Linked DNA regions of Alligator mississippiensis. The protein of the gene in region 4 interacts with the protein of the main gene of each other region in a biochemical or structural test. Links are inferred from orthologs where the notes say so. Each region holds a gene or a part of one and is shown on either strand. Other genes may lie near its edges.

Evidence for each region.
Region 1: the proteins of ATM (region 4) and mediator of DNA damage checkpoint protein 1-like form a complex in vitro, tested with the Homo sapiens proteins (2 studies listed by BioGRID, with this or other methods). The link is inferred for Alligator mississippiensis from reciprocal best matches to the Homo sapiens genes ATM and MDC1.
Region 2: of the proteins of ATM (region 4) and EIF4EBP1, one has a biochemical effect on the other in vitro, tested with the Homo sapiens proteins (2 studies listed by BioGRID, with this or other methods). The link is inferred for Alligator mississippiensis from reciprocal best matches to the Homo sapiens genes ATM and EIF4EBP1.
Region 3: the proteins of ATM (region 4) and SMC1A form a complex in vitro, tested with the Homo sapiens proteins (2 studies listed by BioGRID and IntAct, with this or other methods). The link is inferred for Alligator mississippiensis from reciprocal best matches to the Homo sapiens genes ATM and SMC1A.

Annotation. Positions count from the first base shown.
Region 1 is NC_081834.1:57,359,357-57,367,349, forward strand, and holds the start of mediator of DNA damage checkpoint protein 1-like, read right to left. Parts: upstream 3,010-7,993; 5' UTR 2,926-3,009; coding exon 2,808-2,925; intron 1,743-2,807; coding exon 1,344-1,742; intron 1-1,343. UniProt on the Homo sapiens protein: Histone reader protein required for checkpoint-mediated cell cycle arrest in response to DNA damage within both the S phase and G2/M phases of the cell cycle.
Region 2 is NC_081830.1:18,437,612-18,445,532, forward strand, and holds the start of EIF4EBP1 (eukaryotic translation initiation factor 4E-binding protein 1), read left to right. Parts: upstream 1-4,910; 5' UTR 4,911-4,966; coding exon 4,967-5,102; intron 5,103-7,921. UniProt on the Homo sapiens protein: Repressor of translation initiation that regulates EIF4E activity by preventing its assembly into the eIF4F complex: hypophosphorylated form competes with EIF4G1/EIF4G3 and strongly binds to EIF4E, leading to repress translation.
Region 3 is NC_081831.1:28,313,708-28,320,866, reverse strand, and holds the start of SMC1A (structural maintenance of chromosomes protein 1A), read left to right. Parts: upstream 1-4,151; 5' UTR 4,152-4,291; coding exon 4,292-4,400; intron 4,401-5,686; coding exon 5,687-5,875; intron 5,876-6,404; coding exon 6,405-6,517; intron 6,518-7,032; coding exon 7,033-7,159. UniProt on the Homo sapiens protein: Involved in chromosome cohesion during cell cycle and in DNA repair. Central component of cohesin complex. The cohesin complex is required for the cohesion of sister chromatids after DNA replication.
Region 4 is NC_081824.1:436,970,267-436,977,796, reverse strand, and holds the start of ATM (serine-protein kinase ATM), read left to right. Parts: upstream 1-4,522; 5' UTR 4,523-4,714; exon of another isoform or gene 4,715-4,754; intron 4,755-7,530. Other genes in the region: protein NPAT, read right to left, coding at 923-1,041, 4,302-4,338.

The DNA.
Region 1 (7,993 bases), on a different chromosome or scaffold from region 4:
AACCTCAGCCCTGGTTCCCAAGTTATTATAGGGCCTAGCTGTGACGGAGCACAGGGTGTGCCTGTCACCCACAGGGGTTTGAGCAAACAGCCCGCAGGTGGGAGTAGGCCCAAGCAGGTGGTCACATGTCAGACAGAAGGCTGCCTGATTGGTGGAGAGCCTGGGTATAAGGCAAGGCCCCAGAGCAATACAAGCAATTGCTGCAGGGGCTGAAGGAGCAATGTCACCCAGCCAGCTTCTGTTCCTGGAACAGCTTGGAGGTACAGAGCAGGGACTAGGGATGGAGGAGGTTCCTAGAGCTTAAAACTATGCCCTGCTGAGGAGGATGGTGCAGTGGGGCAACTTCTAAGAATTGCCACACTTGTGCCTCCCCAGTGAAGCGCGAGTATGAGGTGCCAGAAAGCCTCAGCCCCTGCTGCCGTGTGGGTGACCCTGTGGAGGGAAAAGGCTAGGGGAGCACACCCCAACAGAAATGTGCAGGGCCAAGGCCCACTGTGTGGAGCCTGAGGTGGGGTCCAGGCCATGAGAAGGGGGCCTGGATGCAGCCTAGGTACACTAAGTGAGGCCTGAGGCTCACTAAGGAGCCGGGTGTTGAGGCTCCGGGGGCCCAGGGAGTGAGGGCTGCAAGGTGGAGGCCCAGGGATTTCTAGACCGGGTGACGCCAGGTGGTACAGCTCAGCAAGGGAGTCAGGAGCATTTGTGAATGTCAGCTACGAGGCATGGGATACAAGGGAAGGCTCAAAGCTGTGTATGCGCCCTTGGCAATGAAATGGGTAGCCTCCCACCTGGGAAAAACAAAGACATCAAAAGTGCGGCAGGGGAGGCAGGTGGGTGGACTGCCCAGGACAAGTGAGCGGGCCAATGTTTACACGCCCTGGACTGGCCCACTTATTACACTGCCACAACGCCAGCCCTAGCCCCTTTGTTATGATAGGACCTTCAAGAAGTACCAGCCTCAGCCCCGCCCACAGCCATCGTCTTATTGTAGGGCCTACAACCATCTCCCTTCCTCCCCCCCCACACACACACCAGGGAGCTCCCTGTTGTTACAGGCCCTACCAAAGCCTCCAAAGCCCCCTTGTTGTTATAGGTCCTACCAGAATGCACCCAGCTCCTTGTATAGGCCCTACCAACCCACCCACCCAGCCCTTGTTGTTATGGACTCCACCACCACCCCTGCCAGCCCTCCTCCTACAGGCCCTACTAAAATCCCCCCCCATCCCTCATGTTATAATGGACTCTATCAAACCTCCCCACAGCTCCCTTGTTGTTTATAGGGCCTACAGTAACCCCCACCACCATCCACTTTGTTACTGTAGACCCTAGAAAAACCTGCCACTCACCTCCACGCCATCTTTTTTTCTTCACCTCTGACTCCTGAGCCAACTGGGCCCCAGCACCCATCCTACGCCTGCATGGGGTTGGTGTCTCCTCCACGGTCAGACAGTGCAGGGGGGAGGCTGCAGATTCCCCAGGGGGCAGCAGGAAGTACTGGCAGCCCACGTCGCCAAACAGCAGGGTGTCGCCATGGGCCAGAGCGTAGCGGACGTGGGGCTGGAGCACGGCACGGCCGCGCCGCGTGCGATTGAGACTGCCACGGTCCCAGAGCAGGTGTGGGTATCCAGGCCCAGGCCTTGGTGCTTCAATCACTGCATGCAGCTTGGACACGGAGGGCACCGGCAGGTGCACGGGGCAGCTGGGGAGACGTCCGACCACGTTCTCACCAGGGTAGATCCAGATGTCTGCGAGTGAAGGGAAAGCCCAGGTGTCTGGGAAGGGTCCAGACTCCCACCCCTGCCAGTGCATACACACATGCACGTGTATGCACACTCAACCCAAGCATCTGGGATGCTCACTTGCACAGATGGACACTCCCGCAGCCCTCACAACACAGACTCTTTTCCAGAGAACCTAAGTGTCCGGGTTGCCAAACCCCTTGGTCTAGCTGACCAGGCCCCAACTCTCCTCCCAGTGCTGGGAGAGGACCCAGGCTCCCAACCCCCTTCTACTGCCCAACCACACATACGTGTGCATGCGTGTGCACCACTCCTCTCCCATAAAACGCAGGCATCTCAGCTCCCAGCCCCTCCCTGGTCTAATCCACCTGCCCCCGCTCCTCTCCCAGAGGATCCAGCCCCCCTCCTCTCCCCTCCCAGGGAACCCAGCCGTTCGGCAGGCTCTCCCCTGGGGACATGAGCCCCACATCTGGCCCCAGCTGGAATGGGCTTGAACCCCAGGAAATAATGCCTTTGTCATGAATCACCCTGGACACCAGCTTCCTCAGGCAGTGGGGTTACCCCCAGGTGCCGGGTTCCTCGTATAGCGGGGTCCCCACCCCTGGCACCAGTCCAAAACCGTGTCCAGTTGTGGCCCCCCACTCCAGCAAGGATGTGGACAAGCTGGAGAGAGTCCAGCGGAGGCCGATGAAAACGGCTGGGAGGCTGGGGCGCACAGCCTGCGAGGAGAGGCGGAGGGAACTGGGCTCATTGAGTCTAGAGGAGAAAAGACCAAGGGGGGGGATTTGACAGCAGCCCTCAACTCCCTGCAGGGGGGCTGCAAGGAGGGTGGAGCCGGCTGGTGCTCAGTGGGGGCAGACGACAGGACAAGGAGCGAGGGGCTCCAGGTGCAGCAAGGGGTCCTGGGGACGAGGCGGTGGAGTCTCCATCCCTGGAGATGTTTAAGACCCGGCTGAGACGGTCTAGTTGGGGCTGGTCCTGCTGGGAGCAGGGGCTGGGCTGGACTGGACTGGACTGGGCGTCCCTTCCCGCCCCCGCACGCCTGCGCCCAACGGACATCGGGGCTCCTACCTCTCTCCGGGCCGTGGCGGCCCCCCAGCACCCGCAGCCTCCCCACGGGGCGCCCGGGGTCCGCGGGGGCCTCGTCCTCCTGCTCCTCCTCCCACTGCAGCAGCTGCGTCTGCTCCATGGCCCGGGCCGTGCCGTGCCCTGAGCCCCCGCCACCTCGCCCCGCCCCTGACCTTTGACCCAATCCCTAGTTCGGGGGCGTGGCCCTCGATCCCCCCCCGTTCCCGCCCCCTGGTGGGAGCCGGGACTCGCCGCCCACCCCTGCCAGGGCCCCGCGCCCGGGCGCTGGAGCCACGGAGCCCGGACGTGGCTGCCTAGAGAGGCTCCATGGGACCATAGAGAGGCGGGCTGCGATGAGCTAGAGTGCCTAGCTCTCTGCGGTCCTCCACAACATGGAGGCCAGTGTGCAGCATAGAGTGCGGAGATAGCGGGCTAGAATGTCCACACGGGGTCCTCCCCAACATGGCGCCCTAGCACTCCTACCACACCAGTGACCATAAAGATACCTCATGCAGCACGCCCAGGGACATTAAGCACAAGGGTGGGCGGGTAGAGTGACTGCCTTCGCCTGCCACAAAATGGCCGCCGCCTGGCCATAGAGAGGGAAAGCTAGAATATACACATTTGGTCCTCCAGAGTGTCTTTTTCCTCATTATCCCCACATTCATTAATGAGAATGACCTCACTTTGCACCATTTTTAGCCACTGAGGAAGCCTGGGCCTCTGAGCAGCACCTGGGCCGAGCCCGACCCCACTGGAGCTGCCCCAGAGGCCCTGTTACTGTGAAGGGGCATCTGGCATTGCCAGGCAACAGTCTGGTTACTAGGGCTGCCCTGGGTACCATGAAGGGGCATCTCAGGGACATCTGGTGTTGCCAAGCAACAGGCTGCTAACTAGGGCTGCCCTGTGTATCCTGTGTTGTGTCCCAGTGTTGCTAGGAGACACGAGGGTCATTCCAGTGTTGCTAGGCAGCCTACTGGCCAGGGGCTGCCCCCAACCATCCAGGCCTGGGGCCACGGCTGCTTCCAGCTCACCTACCAGCCCCCCATGCTCACCAGGGGACACCCCCCCACCCCCCCAGAGAACCCAGGTGTCAATCGCAGGGCGGGCAGGGCCAAGAGCCGGGGGGTTGGGAGCCCGGACACCTGGGCCCTTTGTGGGCTGGGGGAGTTGTGGGGCAGGCGGAGCTGAGAGCATGGACTCGGGGTCCTCAGCAGGGGAAGAGGGAGCTAAGGGGGTGCGGGGTAACAGCCCAGAGGGATGCCTGGGATCTCTGGGCGGGGGTGGGGGCTGGGGAACGAGAGCAGGGGGAAGCTGGGAGCCCGGTAGGGTGGCCAACATAGAGGACAGTCCGGGTGTCCTCTATTGATACACAACCGGACGCCTTCTTATCCTATATTTTTGTCTTGAAGAAAACCAGAATGTCCTCTATGATGGCCCCGAGAGCTGGGACACTTGGGTGTCTCCCTCCCCCCCTCCCTCAAGGGTGGCTCTGGCCCTACCTCTGCCTCACCCGGGGCTTCTCTCCCTTTCCAGATGAGCCGGAGGGAGCCCTTCTGCCCACGTGTCTGGGACGCAGGCATCCAGTACCCAGGTATTCGGGACAGACGGAAGGAAACGCAGAAGCCCGCGGTTCAGGGTACCCAGGTAGGCGCCTACTCAGAACCCAGGTGTCCGGGAGAACAGCCCCCCCTCCCCCCGCACAGATCCTGTGTCCAACACTGCCCCCTTCCAGGTGCCCAGGACCCAGATGTCCAGGCCACCAGCCCCCCACTGCTCCCTTCCCCCTGAGAAACCAGGTGTCTGGGATTTCACCGCCCCCTGCTCCCACCTACCCCTCACAGAGAACCCAAGCATCTGGACCCTCCCAGAGAGCCCAGGTGTCCAGGGCCCGTGGGTGCACACTCCCTCCCTGGAACCTGTGTCTGGGGCCCACCCAAGTGTCTGCCATGCACTCCCAAATGGCTTTTGATACCGTCCCCCTCCCTCCAAGGTATCCAGGGCCTGCACACAGAGGACCCAAGTATCCAGTACACACAGACAGACAGATTCAGGGAGCCCAGATGTCCAATGTGGGCAAGTAACCATGCAGACTTCTCAAATGCAAGACCCATACAGAGAACCCATGTTTCCAGGATTCCCACCCCCAGTGGACTGAGGCCACAACAGAACCTACTTTAAAAAAATTTCCTGTTTTTATGCTTTCACAAGATGCCATCTTTTCAATATGAGAAAAGCTGTTAGGGGAAAAAAATAAAACAGAGCAGAGCAGACAGAAGGAGAAAGAAAGACAGGATGGGCATGGAGGCTGTCAGCTTTGTGCTAGTGCCAGGGGTGGGGGAACCCACAGGGTGTGGTCACGGCACCATGGCCACTGCTTCCCTGGCTTCCCCAATCTCTTCCTCCAGGGCCAAGCTGGTCTGTTGAGTTCATCAGGGCTGAGAAGTTGCCTGGAACAGGGCTGTCTGGAGCCTGGAAGCTGGGTTGTGGGATGGCAGGGCCTGGCCCAACTCTTCCACGGTGCCACTAGACACTGGTGGCATTTCCTAGGCTTCCCCCTGTAACCAGATCACAGCCTTTTCCTTTCCCCCCCTGGACCTTCCATTGGGGGTGAACAAGGGAAGAAGACCCCAGCCCCACTCTACCCCCTCTCCTCAAAGTTGTTGGCCAGAGAAGAAGTCTTTGGAGACCCTCAATACCCCATGGCTCTTCTCTTTCTCTCCAAGGAAACAGAGCTGACTGGGTTGGCCTAGGAGCACCCGTCTTTTTTTGCTTGGTTTGCTCTCAGTAGCCTGAAGATGGTCTTTGTCTTCTCCCCTGGGTACATTTTTCACTGTAGGGCAAGGTTTGGGGGACTAAAAGCCAACTCAAAACGCAAGGGGAGGCACCTGCATGGTAGAGCAAGGTGCTGGACCCCACAAAATAAATAGATACAGACTCCCCAGGGAAGCTACTACCCCAGCAGAAGCCACTCTGGTTACATGGGCACCAAGGAATTGGGCTCTCCAAGGAGAAAGAGGGAAGATAGGCCCTCTGACAGCTTCATCATCATCTCCATTTTGGGTGGGGAAAGAGCAGTTCATTCCCTAGGTCAGGCAACAAGGAATTCTTCCAAGACTTTGAGTGCTTTCCAAGGTACCCTTGCCAACCAGCTGGGCAGACCTGAAGGAAACCTCTCCAGAAGAAGCCAACTGAGAAGTAACTCATCAGTACCATCCACCTTAACATGGAGGTGGGTCTTCAAAGGTGGGGAGACTTTCTCTAGTCCTGCCAGGACTGTTTCAACCCTTCCACTGTGGTTCATTTGAGTCTCGTCAGGGCAGTGCCTGTGAAGGAAGAAAATGGAGTCCACACATCCCCATGCCCTTCTCCCAGCCTACTTTTCTCACACCCAGAAGACCTTTTGTTTCTCCAGCTTGGGGCCCTTCCTTGAAAAGCCTCCCCACCCCCTCTAGCTAGAACCAATATTTGGCCTTGAAGAAGAGTTCCCCAATGGAGAACCAACATTGGGACATTTAGGAACTTCCTCAGATAAAACTGTACTCAACTCTCCATTTCTCCAAACGAAAGAAGAGAAGATCACCACTCTAGGCACCAGGCACACAACTCTACTTTTTCTAGTTTTTAACGTACTCAACCTTTTTTCATCTTGGTGCCTGCCCTGGGCCCAAGGCAGTCCGGGGCTGGTGTGGGGCTAGGGGTGGCTGTTTATCAGGGGCCACCGGTGCTGGGCAATGACCCCGGGCATGGGGGAAGGGGCAGCTGCACGGGCGCAATGGGCCCCAAGCCCAGGCCCAGCTCTGCTCTGTCCCAATGCCTGCCTGGTCCCAGCCCCAGCCCCAGCCACCCCATCCACATGCTTTCCCCTCCCCCCACAGACTTTCCCGTGGGCACATGCAGCTCCCCCCACAAAATTCTTTTTCTCCCTTTGTGTGTACATGCGTGTCTGTGTCCAGCCAATCTCACTGACAGTGGGTTGTCCCACCAACCGATCACTGTGGCCCCTTCCATAACTGGCTGTGGCCACTTCTGGGAGCACCACCACAGCACTCCCCACCCCAGCTGGCGCTTACAGCGGGGGCACCAACGCTCCTGTCTGCCCCCCCTGCCCATCGCCTAAGTGGCAAGCATGGATGGTCAGGGGGTGCACTTTTGCTCTCAGGGAGTGCATGTGCACCCCCATGCACTCCCTAGGAGTCACCACTATGTGCATGCATGCACGTGCATACCTGTGTGTGCGTGCGTCTATTCATGGCAGGAGATAGCGTGTTTGTTTCTGTGTGTCAATGTGCAGAGAGTAAGTGACAGTAGTATGCGCCTCTGTGTGTGTGTGTGTGTGTGTGTGTGTGCGCGCGCGCGTGTGCATGTTTCGCCATAGTGGAACAGGGGAGCAGGGAGAAGAGGGGAGCATGTACCCCCCCACCCCCAGCCCTCCCTGCCAGCACCAGGAGGGGAAGGGACGATGCTTCGCCCTCACCTGACCTCCACCCTGTCATTCTTGGTGAGCAATTGGCTAGTATACCAATAACAGCCGAGAGGCATTGGGCGTGGTAAAAGGACAATTCGGAGCCACGCAATTAACCCATAAGGCTTTAAGTGCCCTGCCAGGCACAGTTGATTGCAGGGGCCTAGCCAAGGGCCTGAGAATATAAAGGCCCAGCCACAGGTTTGAGGCCAGTACGACCGGGGGCGTGCAATGGTCCATGGCCAGCCTCCCTTTATATTTATTTATAATCCGTAAAGGTGTGGCAGGAAAGATAGGGGGCATGCCCTAGAAGTCAAACAGGGCATGGTCACAGAGCCACCAGGGGGCATCACAGCCACCCCTGGTTCCCTGACCTGCTACACTATAATAGGGCTGGGGGGGACGGGGGTAGAGTCTGTAATAACAAGGAGCTGGGCTGGAGGTTTGGTGGGGCCTATATAAGCAGCTGGGTGAATTCTGATAGGACCTATAACAACAAGGGGGCTTAGGCAGCTTTGGAAGGGCCTGTAACCAGGGGGCTGTGTGCTGGCAGGGGGAGGTTAGGGCCTATCAGAACAAGGAGGTTCAGGGGCAGGGCTGAGTAGGCTCTACAAAAAGGAGGGGTGTGGGGGTGGGGCTGGGGCTTCTTGTAGGTCCTATAATAACAATATGGGCCAGGGCTGGGGTCATGGCAGGAACTTGGGGTTTTGGTAGTGTAGCAAGT
Region 2 (7,921 bases), on a different chromosome or scaffold from region 4:
GGCGTGTCCACTTCTTCCCACAGTTTTGTGTCATCCACAAACTTGGGCAGAGTACACTTCACTCCCTCATCCAAGTCGCTGATGAAGACATTGAAGAGTATCGGTCCAAGGACCGAGCCCTGCGGGACCCCACTGCCCACACCCTTCCAGGTCGATACTGACCCATCCACTACGACTCTCTGGGTGCGACCCTCTAGCCAATTCGCCACCCACCGGACCGTGTAGTCATCCAAGTCACAGCCTCTTAACTTGTTCACCAGTATGGTGTGGGATACCGTATCGAAGGCCTTCCTGAAGTCTATGTAAACAACGTCAACCCCTACTCCTGTGTCCAGGTGTTTTGTAACCTGGTCATAAAAAGTGACTAGATTAGTCAGGCATGATCTACCTGCTACGAACCCATGCTGGTTTCCCCTCAGCATAATTTTTCCTGCCAGGCTCTCGCAAATGTAAGCCATGATAATTTTTTCAAAGACTGTACCAAGGATGGAGGTGAGACTGACTGGCCTGTAGTTGTCTGGGTCCTCCTTCCTCCCCTTCTTGAAAATGGGGACCACATTGGCCCTTTTCCAGTCCTCTGGGACCTGGCCCGTGTGCCACGAGCATTCAAATATTCCTGCCAGTGGCTGTGCAGTGACGTCAGCCAGTGCCTTCAGTACCCTCGGATGGAGCTCATCCAGGCCTGCTGACTTAAACGCATCCAGTTCCTCCAAGTGACTCTGCACCATCTCAGGGTCTACGCTTGGTAGTTTGGCACCTCTCTACCATCCCAGTGTGAGACTTGTCTTGCCCCTCGCTTAGGAACACTGAGACAAAGAGCTCATTGAGGAATTCAGCCTTGTCCCCCCTGTCCGTCACCAATTGCTTATGCCCATCTAGTAGAGGTCCTATTCCACCCTGGGCCTTCCTTCTACTCCCTATATATCTAAAAAACAATTTTTTATTATCCTTTACTTGGGATGCTATCCTCAGCTCCATGGTAGCTTTGGCCTTTCTAACTGCCTCCCTACAAGCGCGAGCAGAGGAGGTATACTCCTCTTTAGTAATCTCTCCCCGTTTCTACTTTTTATATGCCCCGCTTTTTGCCCGTAGGCTGCTCTGGATATCTCTGGTTAGCCAAGGAAGCCTCTTGGCCCCTTTCCCCCTTTTCCTCCACATCAGGATCATCTCCCTCTGTGCCCGAAGGATCATTTCCTTAAGGCACAGCCACCCTTCCTGGGCTCCCATCTCTTCAAAACTCTTACTCTGCAGTGCGTCCTTGACTAATCGCCTGAGTTCGTTGAAATCAGCTTTCCTAAAGTCTAGCACTTTCACCCTACTAGTTACCTTACCCACTCGATGTCTTATGGTGAATTCTATTATTTGGTGGTCACTGTCCCCCAGGTGACCACTGATCTGTAGGTCTCCTACCATGTCATCCCCCGTTGCCAATACCAGGTCCAGTAAGGCATTCCCCCTAGTGGGACCATATACCTCCTGCGTCAGATGGAGGTCCTGTACACAGGATAGGAACCTGCGTGAATGGTCGGACTTTGCTGTCTGCATCTCCCAGCAGATGTCTGGGTAGTTTAAGTCCCCCATGACTACCGCCTCCCTAGTTTTTATGGTCTCTGAGAGCTGCCTCAGGAGCCCTGAATCTAGTTCTTCACCTTGGTGTGGGGGTCTGTAGCAGACCCCTACCACCAAGTCCCTTTCTCCTTGACCTCCATGTAACCTAACCAACAATTCTTCTACTTTCTCCTCCTCTGATTCAGTTTTGATAAGGGTCGATGTATATCGGTCATTGACATAGAGCACCACCCCTCCCCCTCCCTTCCCCACTCTATCCTTTCTGTACAGCTTATATCCCTCAATGTGTACCGCCCAGTAGTGGGACGAATCCCACCAGGTTTCTGTTAGCCCTACTAAGTCATAGGTGTTTTCTGCAAGCAGGAGTGCTAGTTCATCCTGCTTGCTCCCCATGCTCCTAGCATTAGTGTATAGGCACTTGAGCCCTGTGACTGGTGCCTTTATTGCCCCCCGGCTCTGATACCCAAAGGGCCCCTTATTGCTTACCTGTGCTGTATTGCTGGCCGCCCCATGGATTGCAGGTTCCTGATGTTCTCCTTCTTCAGGCTGGACTGTTCTTGTGGGTGCCACATGGTTTGGTGGTCCACGGCTTCCCCCGCACTCATCTTCCCCTCCCCCCGACGAGCCTAGTTTAAAGCCCACCGGAGGAGATCCGCCAACCTAGAAGAGAACACATGCTTACCTTTGGGGGACAGGTGAAGCCCATCTCAACTGAGCATGTCTCTCATCATGATGTGCGGAGCAAGCCCCAAGCACTCAGCAGAGACCGGCTCTTGTATCGGCTCCTAGAGTTAGGCTCAGGAAGCAAATCTAGGAAAGCAAAATCTAGGAAAGCACATTTCCAAACTGAGGAGTAAGGAGCCAAGTACGGAGCCACAGACCCTGTCTTGCTTTCCCCCCCTCAGTGCCCTAGACCAGACTTCTGCCATCCCCCTAGCCCACCAGATCTGACTCCGTGGGTCTGTGAGAGCACGTGTGGCTGCTCTGGGGTTTGTATGAAAAGAAAGGGCTTGCTGGCAATTGCCACCTGCCTGTTTGCTTAGCAGTCTCCTCAGGCTGAGGAGGCACAGCCTGAGTGCAAGGAGAGAAGATAAACAGAGTTTGCCCTAGGTCCATGTGAGCAGGAGAGAGTGAGAGCAAACAGGCTGAAGGGCCATTTAAGGCAAAACTGCTTGTCCAAGGCTCAGGAACAGCACAGAGCAAACTGTTGATTAATGCTGGTGACAGAGCCAGCGCCTGGCTCCAATGTCAGCCTTATTTCTACCTCCTCATCCTGGCTGGCTAGCTCACCGGGCCTGCTGGTGAAACCCCTCAGGAGCCAGCTCAGCACCCCACAGGGGTACAGGAGGGACGGTCCAGCGGGGAGGGTGTGAGATGGGGCTCATCTCCTTGCCACCAACTTCCCATCTGTCTTTTCCACATTCTCCAAAGCACCCCAAAAAGTGCTGAGCCCCAACCCCTCTATTCTCAATGGGGCCAAGCCCCTTCCAAAGGGGAGGGGGCTTCTTTTTATCATATACATATATCTCTATATGTACATGTACGTATATAGCTATATACAGAGAGAGAGAAAGGGATGTATAGGTGTATAAAGATAGATATATATGTGCATAGCGATATCTCTATAGATAGACATATATCTCTATACACATATATATCTATAAATCTATACACATATGCATCTCTATATATCTATATACGTATAGATATATCTCTAGATGTAGCTGTATCTATACTGAGAATATATCTATATAGAGATATTAGATATATAGATCTATACATATATATATATATAGAGAGAGAGAGAGAGAGAGAGAGAGATTTGGTCCCTCAAGGCTCTGTCCTTGGACCTATATTATTCAACATCTTCATTAACAATGTGGACACTGGAGTCAGAAGCGGACTGGCCAAGTTTGCCGATGAGTCCAAACTCTGGGGTAAAGCATCCACACCTGAGGACAGGAGGGGGATCCAGGCTGACCTTGACAGGCTCAGTAAATGGGCAGATGAGAACCTGATGGTGTTTAACACCGAAAATGCAAGGTTCTCCACCTTGGGAGGAAAAACCCGCAGCATCCCTATATGCTCAGCAGTGCTACGCTGACTAGCACTACAGATGAAAGGGACTTGGGTGTCACGATTGACCACAAGATGAACATGAGCCTGCAATGCAATGCTGCGGCTAGTAAAGCGAGCAAAATGCTGGCTTGCATCCATAGATGCTTCTTGAGCAAATCCCGGGACGTCGTTCTCCTGTTGTACTCAGCCTTGGTGAGGCCGCAGCTGGAGTACTGCGTCCAGTTTTGGGCTCCACAATTCAAAAAGGATGTGGAGAAGCTTGAGAGAGTCCAGAGGACAGCCACGCGCATGATCAGACCTTGTGACAACAGGCTTGAGAACCTGGAAAAGCGCAGGCTCAGGGGTGATCTGGTGGCCACCTATAAGTTTATCAGGGGTGACCACCAGTATCTGGGGGAAGGTTTGTTCATCAGAGTGCTCCAAGTGATGACAAGGTCAAATGGTTATAAACTCCTGCAAGACTGTTTCAGGCTGGACATAAGGAAGAACTTCTTTACTGTCCGAGCCCCCAAGGTCTGGAACAGCCTGCCGCCGGAGGTGATTCAGCCACCTACATTGAACGCCTTCAAGAGACATTTGGATGTTTATCTTGCTGGGATCCTGTGACCCCAGCTGACTTCCTGCCCTTCGGGCGGGGGGCTGGACTCGATGATCTTCCAAGGTTCCTTCCAGCCCGAATGTCTATGAAATCTATGAAATCTCTGTATCTGTATAGATACATATAGATCTATACATGTAGATCTATATAGAGATTTATATCTATGTAGAGAGATACATGGATATATAGATCTATACATATAGATCTATATAGAGAGATTTATATCTGTGTAGATACATGGATATATAGATCTATGCATATAGATATATATAGAGAGATTTATATCTGTGTAGATACATGGATATATAGATCTATGCATATAGATATATATAGAGAGATTTATATCTGTGTAGAGAGATACATGGATATATAGATCTATATATATAGACATACATAAAGAGAGATATATATCTATATGTAGAGAGATATATAGATATCTCTCTATATCGATATTTCTCTATACATATAGATATACAAATACAGATCTATCTACATCCATATATTTATCTCTCTCTCTAGATATACACACATCTACACAGATCTATAGATCTATATCCAGCCACACACACGCAGTGGGCGGGGCCTCAGGAAGGGGGCGTGCCTTCCCCTGCCGCGCTCCCGTGGTGCCCCGCGCTCAGGGCGGGCCGGAAGTGCGTGTGGTTCCGGGTCGGAGGGCGCGGGCGGGCGGACGGACGGTCGGGTGCTGTAGCCGCCGCCGCCATGGCCGTGCCGGGGAGCTGCCTCCCGGGGCAGACGCCGAGCCGGGACATCCCCGCGCCCTCCGGCGCCCCGCGGCTCCCTCCCGGCAACTACAGCAGCACGCCCGGCGGCACCGTGTTCGGCACCACGCCCGGCGGTGAGCGCCGCGCCGCGCCGCCCTCCGCCCCACACGTGTCCCCCCCGGGCGGGCGGGCGGGCGGGCCAGCTCGGGCCTGGGCAGGGCAGCCGTGAGCACGGCTGGCGGAGTGTTTCTCAGTCCCCGTCCCGTGGGCTTGGCAGAGCGGGGGGACGGGGGCGGCGCATCCAAATGGCTGTAACAATAAGTCGGTGCCCGCGCCGCAACGCTCTGCGCTGTGCTGCGGCGACACGGCACGCGTGACTGGTGCCTCCCGTGGGGCACCCCCGGGCGGAGGGGCCCAAGTGTAGCGGGGGCACAAGCACTCTCCATGCCCCCCCCCCCCCGACTAGCCGGAGCGCTCGCTGTCAGAGGGGCCATGTGTCCCCTTCCCCCCCCACCCCGACGTGACACGGGCTCCGGTTGCTCTAAGTAGAGTTGGTCCCGGGGCTGCTGTGAGCATTGGGGCACCTTATGCTGTAATAACTGGGTTGGAGTCGTAGACAGCGAGGGCGGAAGGGACCTCAAGGGGTCACCTCTAGGCCACCCCCCTGCTCCAAGCAGGACCAGCCCCAGCTACATCATCCCAGCCAGGGCTAAAAAAACTTGCACAGATGGTGACTCCGCCACCTCTCTGGGTAACGTGGTCCAGGGCTTCGCCACCCTCTTAGTGAGATTTTTTCCCCCCTAATATCCAACTTCGGCGTCCCTTGCTGCAACTCGAGCCCGCTGCTCCTTGTTCTGTCATCCGCCCCCACTGAAAGCAGCCCGGCTCCAAGGCTAGTTGAGCTGCTTTGGTGATTCTTTGGGCAGAGCGACCTGCTGGCACCCGTCTCTTTTGCAGGTACGGGTGGCTGTCGGCTCACAGGGGGCTCATCCACCCTTTTTAACAGCTCTTGTTTCAAGTCCTGCTGGGTGTCCGTACATCTTCCTCACCTGGGCCGGTCACCAGTGGCCCCACCATGGAACAGGCTGTGCTGGTTTACATGGTACCAGACAGCAGAGGAAGAGAGGCCTGGCCTGATGGGAATTTCACATTATTACAGCTGTTTGGACACATTGTCCCTTTCCCTCTGCTTTGCCACGCTGTTGAGAGAGCGTAAATGCTGTGCAGCGTAGCTACCGATGGAACACGCTGTAAGTGAGAATGCTGGCTGATGGGAAGTTGCTAATTCAGCAAGGGATCAAAGACAATCAGGGAATTAAACTGCTGAAAGGAGTAGTGATTCAAAAACACTGAAGTAGCGGGGCAGTGGGGCACTGACTTCCCTTTTTTAAGCGATGGTCTGGGAAGGTGAGCATATGAAAATACACCTGCAGTTCTTTTTTTATGAGAAAGTATATAGAGAATTAAAACACTTTGTCACGTATTAATGTGCTTGGCTGCTTGTTGCCCTCCCTTTTATTGTGGCCGGTGGCTGCCACGTGTATTTTCTCATGCCTGCTACTCTGGCATTAGAAATGCTTGGGATTTTGGCATTTCTCTGCTTAGTTCATTGGCAGCTGAGTCTAAAATATACGTTTTCAAAGTATCACCAGAAATGAACCAGGCTGCAGGCTGGGCTGAATGGAATGAATGCTATTAGAGCCCTTGATGCAGTGGAGTCTCGCTGACCTTCCTTGTGCTAATCCGGAAACCTGCTGGTTCTTGCTAAATGCTGCCTTGCCACGCTGTGTCATGAGCTTTCTGTGATGGCGAGTGTGCTAGTTCACTATCTGGTTTTCAGCATCGCTTGTTTGTTTGGCTTGATAAACCCTTGTTCTTTTGAAAGCATGTAACACACTGTTCCAGTCCCCTGGCCAAGGCGCTGAAGTACTGTGAGCAGTAAATTATGTTGCTCTTGTCAAAATAAAGGGCCCACTGAAATTTGCCATGCAAAACCCTTGAATAATGTGCATAGGCAGCTCTTGTGCACCTCAGCTTCCCTGGTAGCTCCACTGATTTCAGTGGCACTGGGTACTGAAATGTGACATTTTGGGTTTATTGCTAGATGCTGAAATATACTGAAGCCCTCCTTGGACAGTGAGCACATTTAGTCTGGGGCAGAGGGAGCTTGGAATGTTTTCTGGTGCTTTGGGAGTTTCTTTTCCCTGGATTTACAACAGTTTTACCTGCTTCTGTTCTGCGTGGTTCTGATAAGTTAGGCAGTTCAGCGTGCTTTGTTCCCCTGCTGTTTCACTTGCAGGGGAACAAATAATAGTAGAATGCAGGCAAAGGCCAAGGGCATGCCTGTGAATCATCTCAGGATGGTAGTGGAACGGAGTTGCTCAGGCAGTCATATGACAGTTAGATGCGTTTTGTTTTCTTGGAAAAAATCTGTCACCCTCATTCTGTAGCAGTGTCGACATGAGGAGTGGGGGTGTTGGTTGGTTGTGATTGAAGCAGTTCTTTAAAGCCGTAGGCTAGGGAAGGCTTGTGGGTGTCAGCACCTGCAGGCTCTGGGGAGGAAGCCTGAAATGAAGGCTGAAGATGGGAATGGTGAAGTATGCTTGTTCAGGTGCTGGATATTGCAGGGTTGTTTTTTACTGCCCTCCTTCCCCAACTCCAGTTTTAGGGAGACTCACCTGCATTCGACTTAAAAGATGAGCGTTTTATTGATGAACTAGCCCCAAGGTGACTCCCAAAGAGCTGTATCCCAGAGCTGCACTGCTTGTGCCCCTTGCACATGATATTGGCTGTAGCTTGCTGCCCTGGGTGAGGTCTGGGGAGCCCTTTCCTGCCCTGCAGCATTCAGGCACAGGCTGGGGGCCGCTAGACATGCCGAAGGATTCAAAGGCATCTTCTCAGCACTGTTAGCTTATCCTCCTGGCTCTGTGAGCCCCTTGGAGCTAGGTATGGA
Region 3 (7,159 bases), on a different chromosome or scaffold from region 4:
TCCCATAATGCCTTGGGGGAGTGAGTTTAGGTGTCCTATAAATCCTTGTGGGGAGTTGTATCCCATAATGCTCTGGGTATGGTCCAGGTATCCCACAGTACACTAGCACAAAATATCTAGGTATCCCAATCTTGCCCTACCAAGATGCTAATATCCCATAATATTGTGTGGGTGTCATGTGCCATAATGGCATGGGGTGGGGCAGGAGTCACATAATGCCCTGGGAGATGGTGTGGGGTAGGTATCCCACACTTCCTTGGGGATGGGGGAAGGATAGGTGTTCCCATAAGGCCCTGGAGGGTACTAGTGTATCCCACCATGGCATAGTAGAGATTTAGGTATGCTATTATGACCTGGGGCAGGTATTTAGGTATTTTCAACCTTTTTTTAATAAGTGTACCCCCAGCGGCCAGATGCAGGGAGGTGGGGGGGGGGGCGCATGGCATACAGCTGGGTGCAGAGCAGCAACAATGCAGGGTGGTGGGTAGTAGTGGCCACTGCATGCAAGCTTCCCCCCCGCCCCGTATCCGGCCAGCTGGGGAGTGCCTGTACAGCCTGCAGAGGGGTGCCACTACCCTTGCCTCCACTCTCCGCCCCAGCTCTGCTTTTTGCAGGGTGGCGGTGCTTCGTCCTCTTGCCCTCATGTACCCCCTAGGGCCTTCCCAAGTACCCCTGGCAGTATGCGTACCCCCAGATGACAACCTTGTAGCCTTCTATGACCAGGTCACACTGCCTGGACGCGGGAGCTGAGGCTGATGTCATCTTCCTGGACTTTAGGAAGGCCTTCGACACAGTTTCGCACCCTATCCTCATTGGGAAGCTAGCAGACTGTGGAGTGGATGCCTACATGGTCAGGTGGGTGGCCAACTGGCTTAGGGACCGCACCCAGAGAGTGGTGGTGGATGATTCCTTCTTGGCCTGGAGGGAGGAGGGCAGTGGGGTCCCGCAGGGTTTGGTCCTCGGACCGATATTACTCAATATCTTCATCAGCAATTTGGACGAGGGCGTGGAGAGCACCCTCTCCAAGTTTGCTGATGATACCAAGTTATGGGGCAAAGTTAGTACACTGGAGGGCAGGGAGCAGATTCAGGCTGACCTGGACAGGTTGGATCAATGGGCAGAGAGAAATAGGATGCAGTTTAATAAAGATAAATGTAAGGTACTCCACCTGGGAAGGAGGAACCCCCAGCACACCTATAGGTTGGGGAGTGTCCTTCTCAGCAGCTCGGAGGCAGAGAGGGATCTTGGAGTCATAATTGACTCCAAGATGAACATGAGCCAGCAGTGTAACAAGGCCAATCGCACTTTGTTGTGCATTAGCAGGTGCATGACTAATAGAACAAAGGCGGTGATGCTCCCCCTCTATGTGGCACTGGTCAGGCCGCAGTTGGAGTACTGTGTCCAGTTTTGAGCCCTGCACTTCAAGAGGGATGTGGGGAATCTCGAGGGGGTCCAGAGGAGGGCCACTCGCATGATTAGTGGCCTTTGTGATTAGACCCTACAGGGGGAGGTTGAGAGAGCTGAATCTCTTCAGCCTTCACAAGAGACAGCTGAGGGGAGATCTTGTGGACACCTATAAATTTATTAGGGGAGGTCAACAGGGAATAGGAGAAGTGCTGTTTACTAAGGCGCCCCAGGGAGTGACTAGGAATAATGGGTGTAAAGTAGTTGAGAGTGGATTTAGGTTAGATATTAGGAAGAAATGTTTCACAGTAAGGGTGGCCAGGATCTGGAATGGGCTTCCAAGAGAGGTGGTGCTATCACCTAGCTTGGAGGTCCTCAAGAGGAGGCTAGATAGTCACCTGGCTGGGGTCATCTGACCTTGGTCCTCTTTCCTGCCAGGGGCAGGGGGTCAGACACGATGATCCATTGTGGTCCCTTCCGACTCCTACAATCTATGAATCTATGAAACCCTTGCCATGGGGGGTGGGGGGAGGAACAGGTCCCATAGTGCCCTGGCATTTGTACCTGTGCCTGGTTGTAGGTGGCAGTGGCCTGGGCCCAGGCGCACTGACACACATTTTCCAGCTCCTCCAGTTCCAGTGCTTGCAGCCCTAGCACCACCTGTTGCTGCTGCTCCAGTGCCTCTGGGGGTGGGGTTGGGGGGGGGCATTACTGGGAGAGAACCCAGGTATTCAGGCTCCCAGCCCTTCTTGCTTTTACCCCCCTAAGCCCCATTCCCCTCTCAGAGAACTGAGGAGTCTGGGCTCAAAGCCCCCACTTCCCTCCCAGAGAACCCAGGTGCCCAGGCTCCGAGCCCCAATGGAACCTTGGCACGTAGACTCCAAGCTTACCCCCCATTCCAATCCCCCACCACTACAGAACCCAGAGGTCCAGGCTCCCACTGCTCAAGCCCACCAACAGCACTCTCCCTTCCCAGAGAACCTAGGCATCTAGTTCCTACCAATCACCGATGGAGTCCCTCTCGGCCTGGGCCTGGTTCTGGGCCTCACACTGCTGGTCCAGCACCTGGTGCTGCTCATTCTGTTGCTCCTGGCGCCGCACTACCACCTCTGGGTCCTCACCCTTGAAGCACTGAAGCCTGGCAGGGCCAGGGGGGCCCTGATCCTCCAGCTCTGCGGCCTGATCCTGGGCCTGCTGCTGGGCCCAGGTGGCCTCCAGGGCCCGTCAAAGCCCCCATGCCTGTTCTTGCTTCTTGGCCTCCAGTATCTGGGCCACCTGGGCACCCTGCAGGTGCACTACATCTGGGGGAGAAGGGGTCAGAAATCTCTGCTCCAAGGGAACCTTGGAATCCGGGTGTCCCTGGGGCCTGAATTTTTTTTTCCAGGCTCACCAAATGCCTCCTCCCGGCATTTCTCAGTCTCCTCTCGCAGCTTCCGCTCAGCCACTTGGCATTGAAGGGCTTCCATGTCTACCTAGATGAGGGAGAGAGGCAACGGCAAGATGGGTCCTGGATGCCTGAGCTCCCTTGGCTCTGATCCACCAGACCGTATCCCTCCACCAGACAACCCAGGTGACTGGGCTTTCAGGCCCTCCTGCCGCCCCGCTCTCACCTTCGCAGCCCCCACACTCGCCTCCTGGAGTCCCCTGGTGTCTGGGATCTCAAGCCCCACTTCTCTCACCCCCTCAGCCCCCACTCCCCTCCCAGGGCACCCAGGTGTCTGGGCTCCAAGCTCTTTTGCTCTACCCCAACAGACTCCATTCCCCTCTCAGGGAACTTAAGTATCTGAGCTCCCAGTCCCTCCCTGGTCCAACCCCCCCTAGCCTCTACTGTCCTCCTGGAACAGGGAGGGAACCCAGGGATCTTGACTTATTCCCATGCGGCAATAGCGAGGGTTGAAGATCTGTGTCTGACGCTGACGCTCCTTCTCCCTCTGGGCCTCCAGCACTGCCCCCACCTTGTGGGGCAGGTCTGCCTTGTACATCCTGGGGGAGGGGGTGGAAGTGTCAGTACCAATGGGAGAGAACCCAGCACCTCCTGCTCATCCACCAGCCCCATTCCCCTCCCAGAGAACACAGGTGTCCAGGCTCCTACACATTGGCCTCCCTCTACCCTCTCAGAGCCAGGAAAGAACCCAGGCACCTGGGTTCATGACCTAACTGTCCTTCCCTGATCTTTTGACCCCTTCCACTCACCCTTACTTGCCCCCAAACAAAATTCCCTTTGCTTCCTGACCTTTGACTTTTGACCCCAGCCTGTCCCCAGTCTCCTCTGCCCTTTGACTCCCAATTTACGTTGGTCCCTCTTGACTTCTGACCCCTGTCTTCACCCGTATTTTTGACCCCTGTGCTCTCTGACTGAACCCTCCTTGCCCTGCTCCGCTTTGTCTCCGAGGCCTTCTGTTTAAGATCCTCGTCTCCATGGTAACAGGCCAACCCATTTCACCTCAATCTCCCCTTCCCATTGGTACAGCCCAACCGCAGTTTTATGCAAATAGCGGGTTCCCCGCGGGCCAATTAGGAACGAGAGTTTGGGAAGAGTTTATTTGCTTGTTATGCAAATAAACATCCCTATTAAGTAGAAGGGCGGGAGCCCGAATGCAAATAAGGCCCGGCGCCTCGCGGGCTAATAAGGAGGAAGAAGCGGCCAGCTATGCAAAACGACCCCGGGAGCGCCGACCAATCTGAGGAAGCCTTGGAAAGAAGCCCTGCCCTTTTATCTTGGACTAGTTCCTCGCGAAGGCCGGTGCTCTCGCGAGATTTCCTTATCTTGGCGGCAGCGGCGGGCCAGAAAACAGTGAGGGGGTAGGGCTGTGAGTCGGTGCTCCGGCGGGTCTCAGTAGGGCCGGACGGGACGGGACGGGACGATCCGGTCCGGTGTCTCGCCACCATGGGATTCCTCAAGCTGATCGAGATCGAGAACTTTAAGTCCTACAAAGGGCGGCAAATCATCGGGCCTTTCCGCCGCTTCACAGCCATCATCGGGCCCAACGGCTCCGGTACGCGGGGCCTGCTGGAGGACCTCCCCTACTCTAGTGGGCAGCTGGGTGTTACGGCCCAAGGGGGACGTTTAGCTTAGCGGCGGGCGGCTGGAATGTACCACTGAGACCCCTGTAGGGTGAGGGGCTGAGGGGGGTGGTATAGTCCGGAGGGAAACTTTCGTTTGGTGGCAGACGGGTGGGATGTTCCATTGAGACGCGGTGGAAGGGTCCACGGATGAGTGGGTAGGCGGGGGGATAGGTCACCCTTGGCTTGGCGGTGGGCAGTTGGAATGTTCCACTGAGACCCCTGTGACGCACGCTGGAAGGGCCCTTGAAACTCTCCTCTATGCTGGTGGAAGGGTACAAAAGCATTTCTTCTCCCCCCCCCCATATTGCGGCACTAGGTGCCATAGGGGACTTTCCCCACATAGGAATGCTATTGCCCACAGAACTCCCCCCACCCATGACATGGATGGTACAGTCCATTGGCACCCCTCTCCCCCCATCCCACATTAAAATTGAACAGACTGTGGCTCCTGGGGAAGGGTATGGCTCAGGAACCCCCTGTGATGCATCTCCCATCCCACAATGCATTGTGCCTGCCACCACCCCCTGCAACAGGGGTCTTTCCCCCACAGGGATCCTCCGACAATGCATTGTTTATGCCAATCTTCCTGCTATCCCATGAGGCCTTGCCCTGTTGACATACCTTCCCACAATGTATTGCTCATGCCAACCCCTTCTTGCTGTCCTGTAAGACTTTGTCTCTCTGATCCCTTTTGCTGTCTCACAATGCATTGCTTATGCCAACTCCACCACTGTCCCATAAGGCCTTGCCACTTGATTTGCGTTATTTCCACAGTGCATTGTGTGTACTGATCCTTCCACTATCCCACAATGCATTGCTCATGCAATTCTTTCCCACTATCCTATAATGCATTGCTCATGCCAACCCCTGAACTCTCATGAGCCCTTCCTTGCACCAATCTCCTATCCCAAAATGCCTTCTCCACACTGAAATCGTATCACTCAACATACTTCATGTGCCAAACACTACTTCACTATTCTATAATGCCTTGCTCTGACTGCCCCATCCCTGCTATCCCATAGTGTATTGCTTATGCTACCCTTCCTAGTATCTCATGATGTCTTGCCTGCATCAGTCCCCTGCTATCCCACAATGCCTTGCCCACACTGAGGCTGCACCCCACAGTACACTGCACCTACCAATCCTCCTACTATCCCACAATACCTTGCCTGCGCTGACCTCCCTTCTGTCGCACAATACCTTGCTGGTTCTGCAGGGAAGTCAAACTTGATGGATGCCATCAGCTTCGTGCTGGGTGAGAAGACAAGCAACCTGCGGGTGAAGACTCTGCGGGACCTAATCCATGGGGCACCAGTAGGGAAGCCGGCTGCCAGCCGCGCCTATGTCAGCATGGTGTACGCGGAGGATGGCGCTGAGGATCGCACCTTTGCACGTGTCATCGTTGGTCAGCTTAGGGGTGGAGCTTGGGGATGGCACAGTGGGGAAGGGGTAGGGCTTGAGAGCAGGGGGAGGAGCATAGTGGGGAAGGGGTGGGGCTTGGACATAGTGCAGGGCTTGGGAGAAAGGGGAGGGGTTGAGGGTGGAGCTTGATAGGGTAGGGCAGAGTGCGCTTCTGGGCTGGAGCAGAGGAGGGTGGAGAATGGGTGTGGCTTGGTTAGGGGGCAGGGCTTGGAAAGGGCAGGGCTTGTGGGTAGGGGTGCAATGTGGGATAGTGGGAGGGTGTAGTTTGGGGCTGGATATGGGGCTTGAGGAAGGGATGGTGCTTGTCAAACTGAGGGAAAGGGTTGGGCTTTAGAGAAGGAGGAAGCTTGTGGGCAGGGGAGGGGCCAAGTGGCAAGGCTTGGGCAATGGTCAGACCAGGGGAAGGAGCTTGGGGGAGGGGAAGGGTTGGAGGGTTGACACTGAGGTTGGGAGGATGCAGACTCCATTCCCTCCCCGTGCTGGCCTTGACCCCCACCTCTCCAACTCATTAGGCAGCTCCTCAGAGTACAAGATCAACAACCGGGTGGTGCAGTTGAGTGAATATAGTGAGGAGCTAGAGAAGCTGGGCATCCTCATCAAGGCGCGCAACTTCCTTGTCTTTCAGGTGGGGGTGCTGCCTACCTGGGATGGGGCAGAGGAGGAGGAGGGTTATGGGGCTCCATTGTGCAAGGGGTGGAGCTGGGAGGGAGGGGGAGGGGTATGGGACTTGTGGTGTGAGGAGTCTTGGGTGTATGGGGGAAAGGGGGGCCCAATCCTGGCTGGGGCTTGGGGGGCATCTTGGGCCTGATCATGGGGGTTGGGAGGTGTATTCTGGCCCCAATCCTGCTGGAGGGTAGGGTCTTTCAGGGCTAAATCCTAGGATCTGTGGAGGGGGGAGGTTCTGGCCTTAATCCTGGGTTTTTTGGGGTGGTTCTGGGCCCTATCCTTACTGGAGGGGCAAACTGGTGGTATGCTGGTGCTGATCTTGTCTGGGAGGGTCCTCGGTGTGATACTTCAGTTTGAGGAGGTCCTGTCCGTGATCTTGGGGATTGGGAAGAGGATCCTGGGCCTGGGAAGAGGTGGGATCCTGGGGCCTGGTAATGATGCCCTGACCTTGTCTTCCATTGGCCCGGGTGGCAGGGGGCAGTGGAGTCGATTGCCATGAAGAACCCCAAGGAGCGCACAGCACTCTTTGAGGAGATCAGCCGGGCTGGGGAGCTGGCTCCTGAGTATGACAAGCGCAAGAAGGAGATGGTGAAGGCTGAAG
Region 4 (7,530 bases):
GCAGCAATGAGCTACTGTGCCGTAGTGTCACAAGGCACGAACTGTGATGGCAAAGCTACTGTACACTAGCTTGTTACTTCTGTGCAGTAGTATCTAAAAATAACCATGTGGCGACGGGACTGCGCAATAACGCTGATCACTGCACAGTCATTTAGTACTTGGTTAAGCAAGTACTAAATGACTGAGCAGTAACAACTGCGCAGTTGGCTACTCATGTAGATGTGGCCACTGAGAATCAAGAGTTGTCACCCATTCTATAGTTTGCCTAGAACCCCCATGGGATTCCCAAAGCTTTCTTCCTACAAGGTGCAAGTCAGTTGAGGAGAGTCCATACAAGCAGATACATCATTCTGTAATTACAGCAAACAGATTTCTTCCCCTTGCCCATATTCATTTCAAGTGCATCTTCTAAATTTTGAGACAAGCCTCCTATCCCAAATTCAACAGAAAAATCGGTTATGTTCTCAATCAAGAGCTTGCAGCAGGGATGTCATCTTGATCAGGTATCTAACCAGGTACAAGTGATTTAACTGTCTGAATAACTATAGTACTTAACTCCTGGAAATATGTATCAAAGGCAATATTCCTTGCTTACAATAACAAAACATGTAACTGTACATTATGAATACCGCTCACTTATTTTATTCTTAGATTTGTAAAACTGTCAGTGTCTGGGTCAATGTCCAATGTTTGTTATATTAAGAATGTAGGAAAAAACAGCTGTTCATATACAACCCCTTATGCAGGGTACCAAAAAAAAGTTACTCGGTCGTACTGTTTAAATGTCTTGAACACTGCAGATGTTACAACCATTCTGAAAGCATAGAAGTCTGTGCAAACTTAAATAAATTATTTTAGAAGTACATATTTTGGAATGTACTAGGGTTCAACTCTATCTCACGTGCTTCAAATATAAACTTACCAATAAACAAGCTGGAACAGACCCATCCTCTGTACAGTGCTCTGCATATTCTTTTAAATCTGAGCTTTCCAATATAAACTCACGACAGGTAGCTGAAAGTTTTTCTTGTTGTAAATATCCTGCAGTAAATAAGACAAAGGTATGTGATTTGATTCACTTTTTTACAAGGTACACTTGATAGGTGTCAATGCACTGATACAATTATGTAGCATAATACAGTAAGCTTACTGTGCAATCATCTAAGCACTCAAGTGACAAATACTCAAGAAAACACGAGTTGTGTTATGTTTTGAAAGAATAGCTACCTTTCTACACATCTCTCCAGTAGATAATGTCACACAGCTTTACTGACACCATGCTACATGTACATAAATAACTCTTCAGCTAAGAAATGATTGTTAAATGAAACCATTTGTGTGCACAGTACCCTACAGGCAAAAAATAGAGGTCTTGCCTCAAGTGACTAAGTCAAATGTGAGCTGAATATTCCAGTTTTAAAATAAAAATGGTACTCTGCAGTAAACTTTAAAAGACATTGCCATACAATAAGCAAGTGTTTTTGTGCACGTTTTGAAGTTCCAAACCCGGAAAACAAATGCAATATAAAAATATTTTACATGATTTCTTTCTCCCAAAAGATGACATTATAGATATTTATAGACATGGGAAAAGCAACACATGTCCATGCTATAACTTTGCTTTTAGTTGGTGAATCAGCTATACTTTAGGTACTCCTACAACTCGGGCTCTCTCACCAGCCTTAATATGATATATACAGAAAAACTCCTTCCACCTTCCAAAAAGTCTCAAACCAATGATATTTTAATATTTTATATTAACATTCAAGTAACTCAGGTACCAAACAGAAAGGAAAAAAACTATCTGAATGAATGATTCTAGACCACTGAGCCATAAAAGTTAGTATGGCATGTTGTTTATTTTATGCTGAAGATGGTTGGCCCCTGGTGATTTGGCCACTCTGGCTTTAAATGTCTCTTATGGGATTCAACTACCAAACATGTTAACTCCAAATTATCACGTAGAAAATAGTATTCTTTGAACTGACAAAGAGATAGGACCAAAAACTTTTTCCACCGTGTCCACAATAGTGTTCAGTATCTGATGCACAATGAAAGCTAAAAAAAACCCCAAAAAACTCTATTAACTGTTCAATGCTGTGCATTACAGAAGTTTAAGTTACACATGTCCCAAAAGTGATTAACTGGTATGTAACATATTACAATCATTTTTTAAGTTTTGCAAATGTGTTCTGTGGGTCAAAGGAAGTAGAACCATATCTTACATCTCTGACTTACAACAGTTAAGGATATATATGCTATGCACATAGACAAATTACAAAATCAAGCACCAAGAAGTTAGGAAATGCCAAAGCTAATGTTGCCTGTAAAATATGACTTTGATCCCTCGTGTGCATGCATTATGCATTCCTATTTCATTCCATGATCAGAAAATATTTTTCTATAGACCCCTGTATTTCACACAGAATGACCAACACTCTGCGTTTGCAGCTATTCTGTGTTTTTGTTTCCTTATCGTGCAATGCCCTGTGCCTTACTTACTGAATCCAAAAGCAGTCGTAAGGGGCAATAATTTATTTGCAATAGTGCTGGGGTGATTTTGTAGCTGTGATGGCCCAGGAAAAATGTGAGAAGCAAAGATTTTTGTGGGTGGTATCTTTTATTGGACCAACTGTATAGTTGGAAGGGATATGGAGGAGATTTAGGAACCGCAGCACCCTTTGTTGTCAGGTCTTCCTCAGCTACCACCCACAAAAATCCTAATTTTCTTGCAGAATTTTCTCCAGTGCTTTTGCTGTTTCATTTTAGTTTTTCTACAAATATTAATAAGTTTATTTTCACAGCATCACAGGGTAGCAGCCAGGTAGCAATGAGATGCTAAATGAGCAGAGATTCTTGAGATCAGATTAATAGTTTGTAAGTTTTATTTTTTAATATAACCAAAGCAATAGATTTCCCCACCTAACTCAGCTCTCTGAAACAGCTCCAGCATTTCAAACAGGACTTTAGAAATGATCCAGCTGGAGGCAAATGCACCTTTCGGAAAAACTGAGCCTATTTGGCCAAGCCATGAGCAACAGAAGATAAGATCTAGTACAACTTTAATTAAGTCTCATTACACGCACTGCTTACAATGCCTCCATAGGTTTGAAGCCTATGACTTTTCAATTCCTGGCCTCTCATTCTTGTATTGAAAAAGTTAAAGGGCTCTGTCAGAAATGCAGCAATCCCCCAAAATAACCGTTTTAAAGTGACCGCCTTCTACTGTTATGCTAACCCACAAGCGGGCATCCAGGCTATAGCCATATTGGTATAGAGGAAAAAGCAATCAGAGCTCATGGTAGAGGTGATATCTTTTAGTCCAACAAGATTTTTGCAAAACCTGACACACGAAAGTTATCAAATTTTAGCCGATTTTGAAATTAAATCTTCATATTTTCCCCAAAGAGGAAGCAACTGTGACCACCTGAAACACTGCTCTTGCTTTTGCTCAAGCTAATTTGCATCATCACAGAGCCTCACAAAAGAGGGCAGAGACTCTTAGCCAGCTAAGACCTGCCTGCCCAGAGGAGTTTTTCATCTATGGACTCCTCTGTGATCTGTGAAATCCTATGAAATACGAACTTTCATTCCTATCCAAAAGAACTTTTACAATCTTTTCTCCAATGCCTGATGAAAGGTGTTTGTGCCCAAAAGCTTGCAATGAAAGAATTTTTTTTTTGCAAAATTCTTGTTGGTCTAATAAAAGGTATCACCTCTACCACAAGCCCTGAACCTCACAATCATGTTTTTCGAAGGTGCAGGCTCCCAGCCCGTGGTAGGAGGAGGCTCTCTCAAGCTGGTCTTCCAGTTCACAGGAAAACGCACAATTGGCCTGGCAGCCAGAGCAATGCTGGGGGGGGGGGGAGAGAAGAGCAGATTTCTTGGGGGAGGGACGATCATTCATTGGACCAACTGCAAGGTGGAGACAGAGCCAGAAAGGCTGTGGGGGTCGGCAGCCTCAATCATGTCACTTGCCGCTCGAGGAAGCGGCTTTGCCCTGTGCTTGGCCGGCTCTGTCCCAGCGGCGCAGCCAGAGTGCTGCACCCCTCCCCCCCGCGTCGCCTCCTGGCGGCCCGCGCACCAGCGGCTCGTTTCCTTCGCCCCCTTTATTCTCCTCAGACTCCAGGAGACAACGCGGGCGGGTCCCGACGCCGCACAGCCCCCCGGGCAGCGCCGGGTTCCCCACAGGGCCAAAGCACCGCGAGGCCTCAGGGAGCCGGGGCGGGGCGGGTCTCTGGGTTGAGGCCAGGCCGCGGAGGCAGACACAGGCCGCGCTGAGGGAGTCTCGCCGCACTCACCCAGCACCAGGCGGGCCACGTCGGACGGCAGCAGCATGGCCCCAGCGGGCGGCGGCACTCGCAGCTCGGCCGCCCCGCGCACCACACGCAGAGCGCGGAAACGCCACCCGCGCAACCCGCCCCGCCCCTTCCGCCGGAAGCCGCAGTTGCACAACCGCTTCCGGCACTACCCCTCCCTCCCTGCTGGCGCTGGTGCTGCGAGGCAGGCGTAGTGCGCATGCGGGTGGGGCTGCCGCGGTAACGGCCCGCGGCGGCGCGTGGCAGCGGTGGGGCCGGACTAAGGCTGCGCTCGTACGGCCGGGCCGCTCATCAGTGCGGGGAGGCCTCCGCGCTCCCCACGGCTGCACGGCGCCGCGGCTTGACGGCTTGAGCGGGTGCGAGGCCGGGGAGGGTTTGATGAGCTGGTTTGGCGGGTGCGTTAGCGGTTCTTTCTGGCAGCGGCTCGGACTTCGTGTAAGTCGAGCCAGGGAGGCCGCCTGTGGCACGTGCGTGCGGCCCTGGCGGAGCGGGCACAGGGCTCAGGCAGCGCAGGAGGAGGCAGGGTAGGGAGCAGAAAGCAGAGCAGAAGATGGGGCGGGGGCACGCAGGGAAGGAGGCAGAAAGCAGAGCAGCAGGTCGGGTGGGGAGCAAAGAGCAGAAAGAGCAGCCAGCTAATTCTCCGGGGAGGGTGTTGTGCTGAGGGGAGGGTGTGGTGTTCGTTTGTCACTTCTGCCAGAAATCTCGCCCCCCCTCCCCCCCCATGAAGGGCATTGACAGGTAAATTCTGCCAGTTAAAGAGGTGTTTCTAAATTTGGCTTCTTGACAACAGTGTTTTTAAGCTGGACACAAATATTTACATGATTTTGAAAACTTTCCAATAATAATCATTGTTTTCGGCTTTCTCCAGAACCTTGAACAAAAATGGACAAGGGGCAGATGTGAAACCGGACTAGTTCTTTTTTAGGCTAGGGACAGACATTACACTTAAACTGGTTTAAGTGATCAGAAACTGGTTTAAACCTATAACAGAACAGACGTTCAGGGCACATAAACCAGTTTGAGAAAAACCTGGTTGAGTGTAGTATCAGACTTAACTGATTTGGCTCAAACCAGTTTGTCTGTCTGTTTAATCTCAAAGGTTTACAAAAAAATAACTATCAGCACAAAATGAGGGAAAACGCAGATTTTACATCATTATTTTATTTATCTTTTTGCTCAATGGTCTGAGGTGATACATGTGACAACAAATGTGCTTATGCTTACAATCTGTTACTTAAGTTGGCCAGGAGGATAAATGATCTGGGAGCACGAATGACGTTCTGGTTGATCCTCTCTTTGTAAGGCAAGCAGGGGCCATCATGCCCTGGAAGTGCATGTGGCTGGGACCGGGGTGTTGATGTGAAGCCTTTGGATTCTTTGACAGCAGGCAGATGTTCTGGGAGAGGGCCTGCTATCAAGAGATGGGATCCACCTGACCAGAACTGGAAAGAGCATCTTTGGACATGGTCTGGCCAATCTAGTAAGGAGGGCTTTAAGCTAGGTTCAGCGGGGATGGTGAACAAAAAAGCCACATAGTGCAGAGGGGAAGACACTAGTGAGTCACAGGACAGCAACAAGTGGTGCAGAAGGGAAGTGAATAGGTCAGAATACAAAATACATTTGATGTGTGGATGCAAATGCAAAAAGTATAGGGAAGAAACAAGAAGAGCTGGAGACTGCAGCCTGTGAAAAGAACTATGACCTGATTGGTATCACAGAGCCCTGGCAGGACACCTCTTATTACTGGGATGTCAACACTGAGGGGGTTACCCTTTGTTTTGAAATGATGGGGTTGGGGAAAAAAGGTAGTGGTATTGCCTTCTATGTCAAAAACATACGCTTGTTGCTGGACTCAGTAGGAAGAAGATAGCGGAGCAGAATGGATTTGCGTGAAGAGGAAAGGTGAAAGATGCAGCACTGATATAATGGTGTGGATCTATTGTAGGCCACAAAATCAGGAAGAGAAGGTGTCTCCAAAAGCTATGGGATAGGAAACTTAATTTTTCGACATCTGCTGAAAGAACAATACAGCCAAACACAAAATGTCGAGCCAATTCCTAACTTGTGTGGAAGACAACTTTCTGTTCCAGAAAGTAGAGGATACAACTAGGGGCTCATCTGTCTTGGATCTTGTCTTGACCAACGGGAAATAACAGGTGGAGGATGTGAAAGGTGATGGGCAACTTGGGAGGAAGTGATCACAATCTGATATAATTCTAGGTCCTGAGATGAGGAAAGCATGGCATCAGCAAAAGTAGGATGCTAGATTTCAAACAGGTGTATTTCACCCAGCTCGGGGAGCAAATAGGCATGGTTCCTTGGAAAGATAGCCTGAAGAAGAAAGGCACCCAGGAGGGCTGAGAGCTTCTAAAGTGCACAGCATTGGAAACCCCCAAAAAACTGTTCTGACATGATGAAAGCGCAAGAAAAATGACAAGAGACCAATGTGACAGCACAAGGAGATTCTAGGATGCATCCAGTGCAAAAGGAAAGCGTACAGGCTATGGAAAACTAGACAGGTCACCTAAAAAGCTTACTGGGAAGTAGTAAGAACCTACAGGGACAGAATCAGGTAGGCAAAGATAAAGCATGAGCTGCACCTGGTGAGGGAGATGAAAAACAACAAAAAGGTTCTATAAGTATTTGGGCTATAAAAGAAAGATCAAGAAAGCTGTAGGCCTACTGTTAAGTAACAGGGAGGGGGGCACTCTAATCAGAAGATGTAAAGAAGGTGGAGCTACTCAATGCTTCTTTGCTTTAGATGTCATAAAAACATTTAAGCTGGAGCCAGACACCTAATAAAGAGTATTGGGTCTGAATGAATTCAACTCTGTAGAGTCTGATAAACATCATCCCAGGGTATGAAAGGAATTGACAGAGGAGATTTTGGTCCCCTTAGCAATAATATTTATAAAGTTAGGGGTGGTGGGCGAGGTAACAGAGGACCGGAAAAAAGACAAAAAAGAGGGCCTGAGAAACTACAGTGTACTTAGTCTCGCCTCAATACCTGGGAAGTTACTGGAACATATCCTAAGGAAGTCCACTGGCAGGCGTCTAGAGGAGAAAAGGTTGATCACAAGCAGTCAGCGTGGATTTACTTGATCTCTTCCTTTGACAGTGTAACTCTGTGGGTGGATGACGGGAATGCTGTTGATATAGTGAACTTCAGCAGTGCTTTTGACCAGGTCCTGTATGACCTTCTCATAAACAA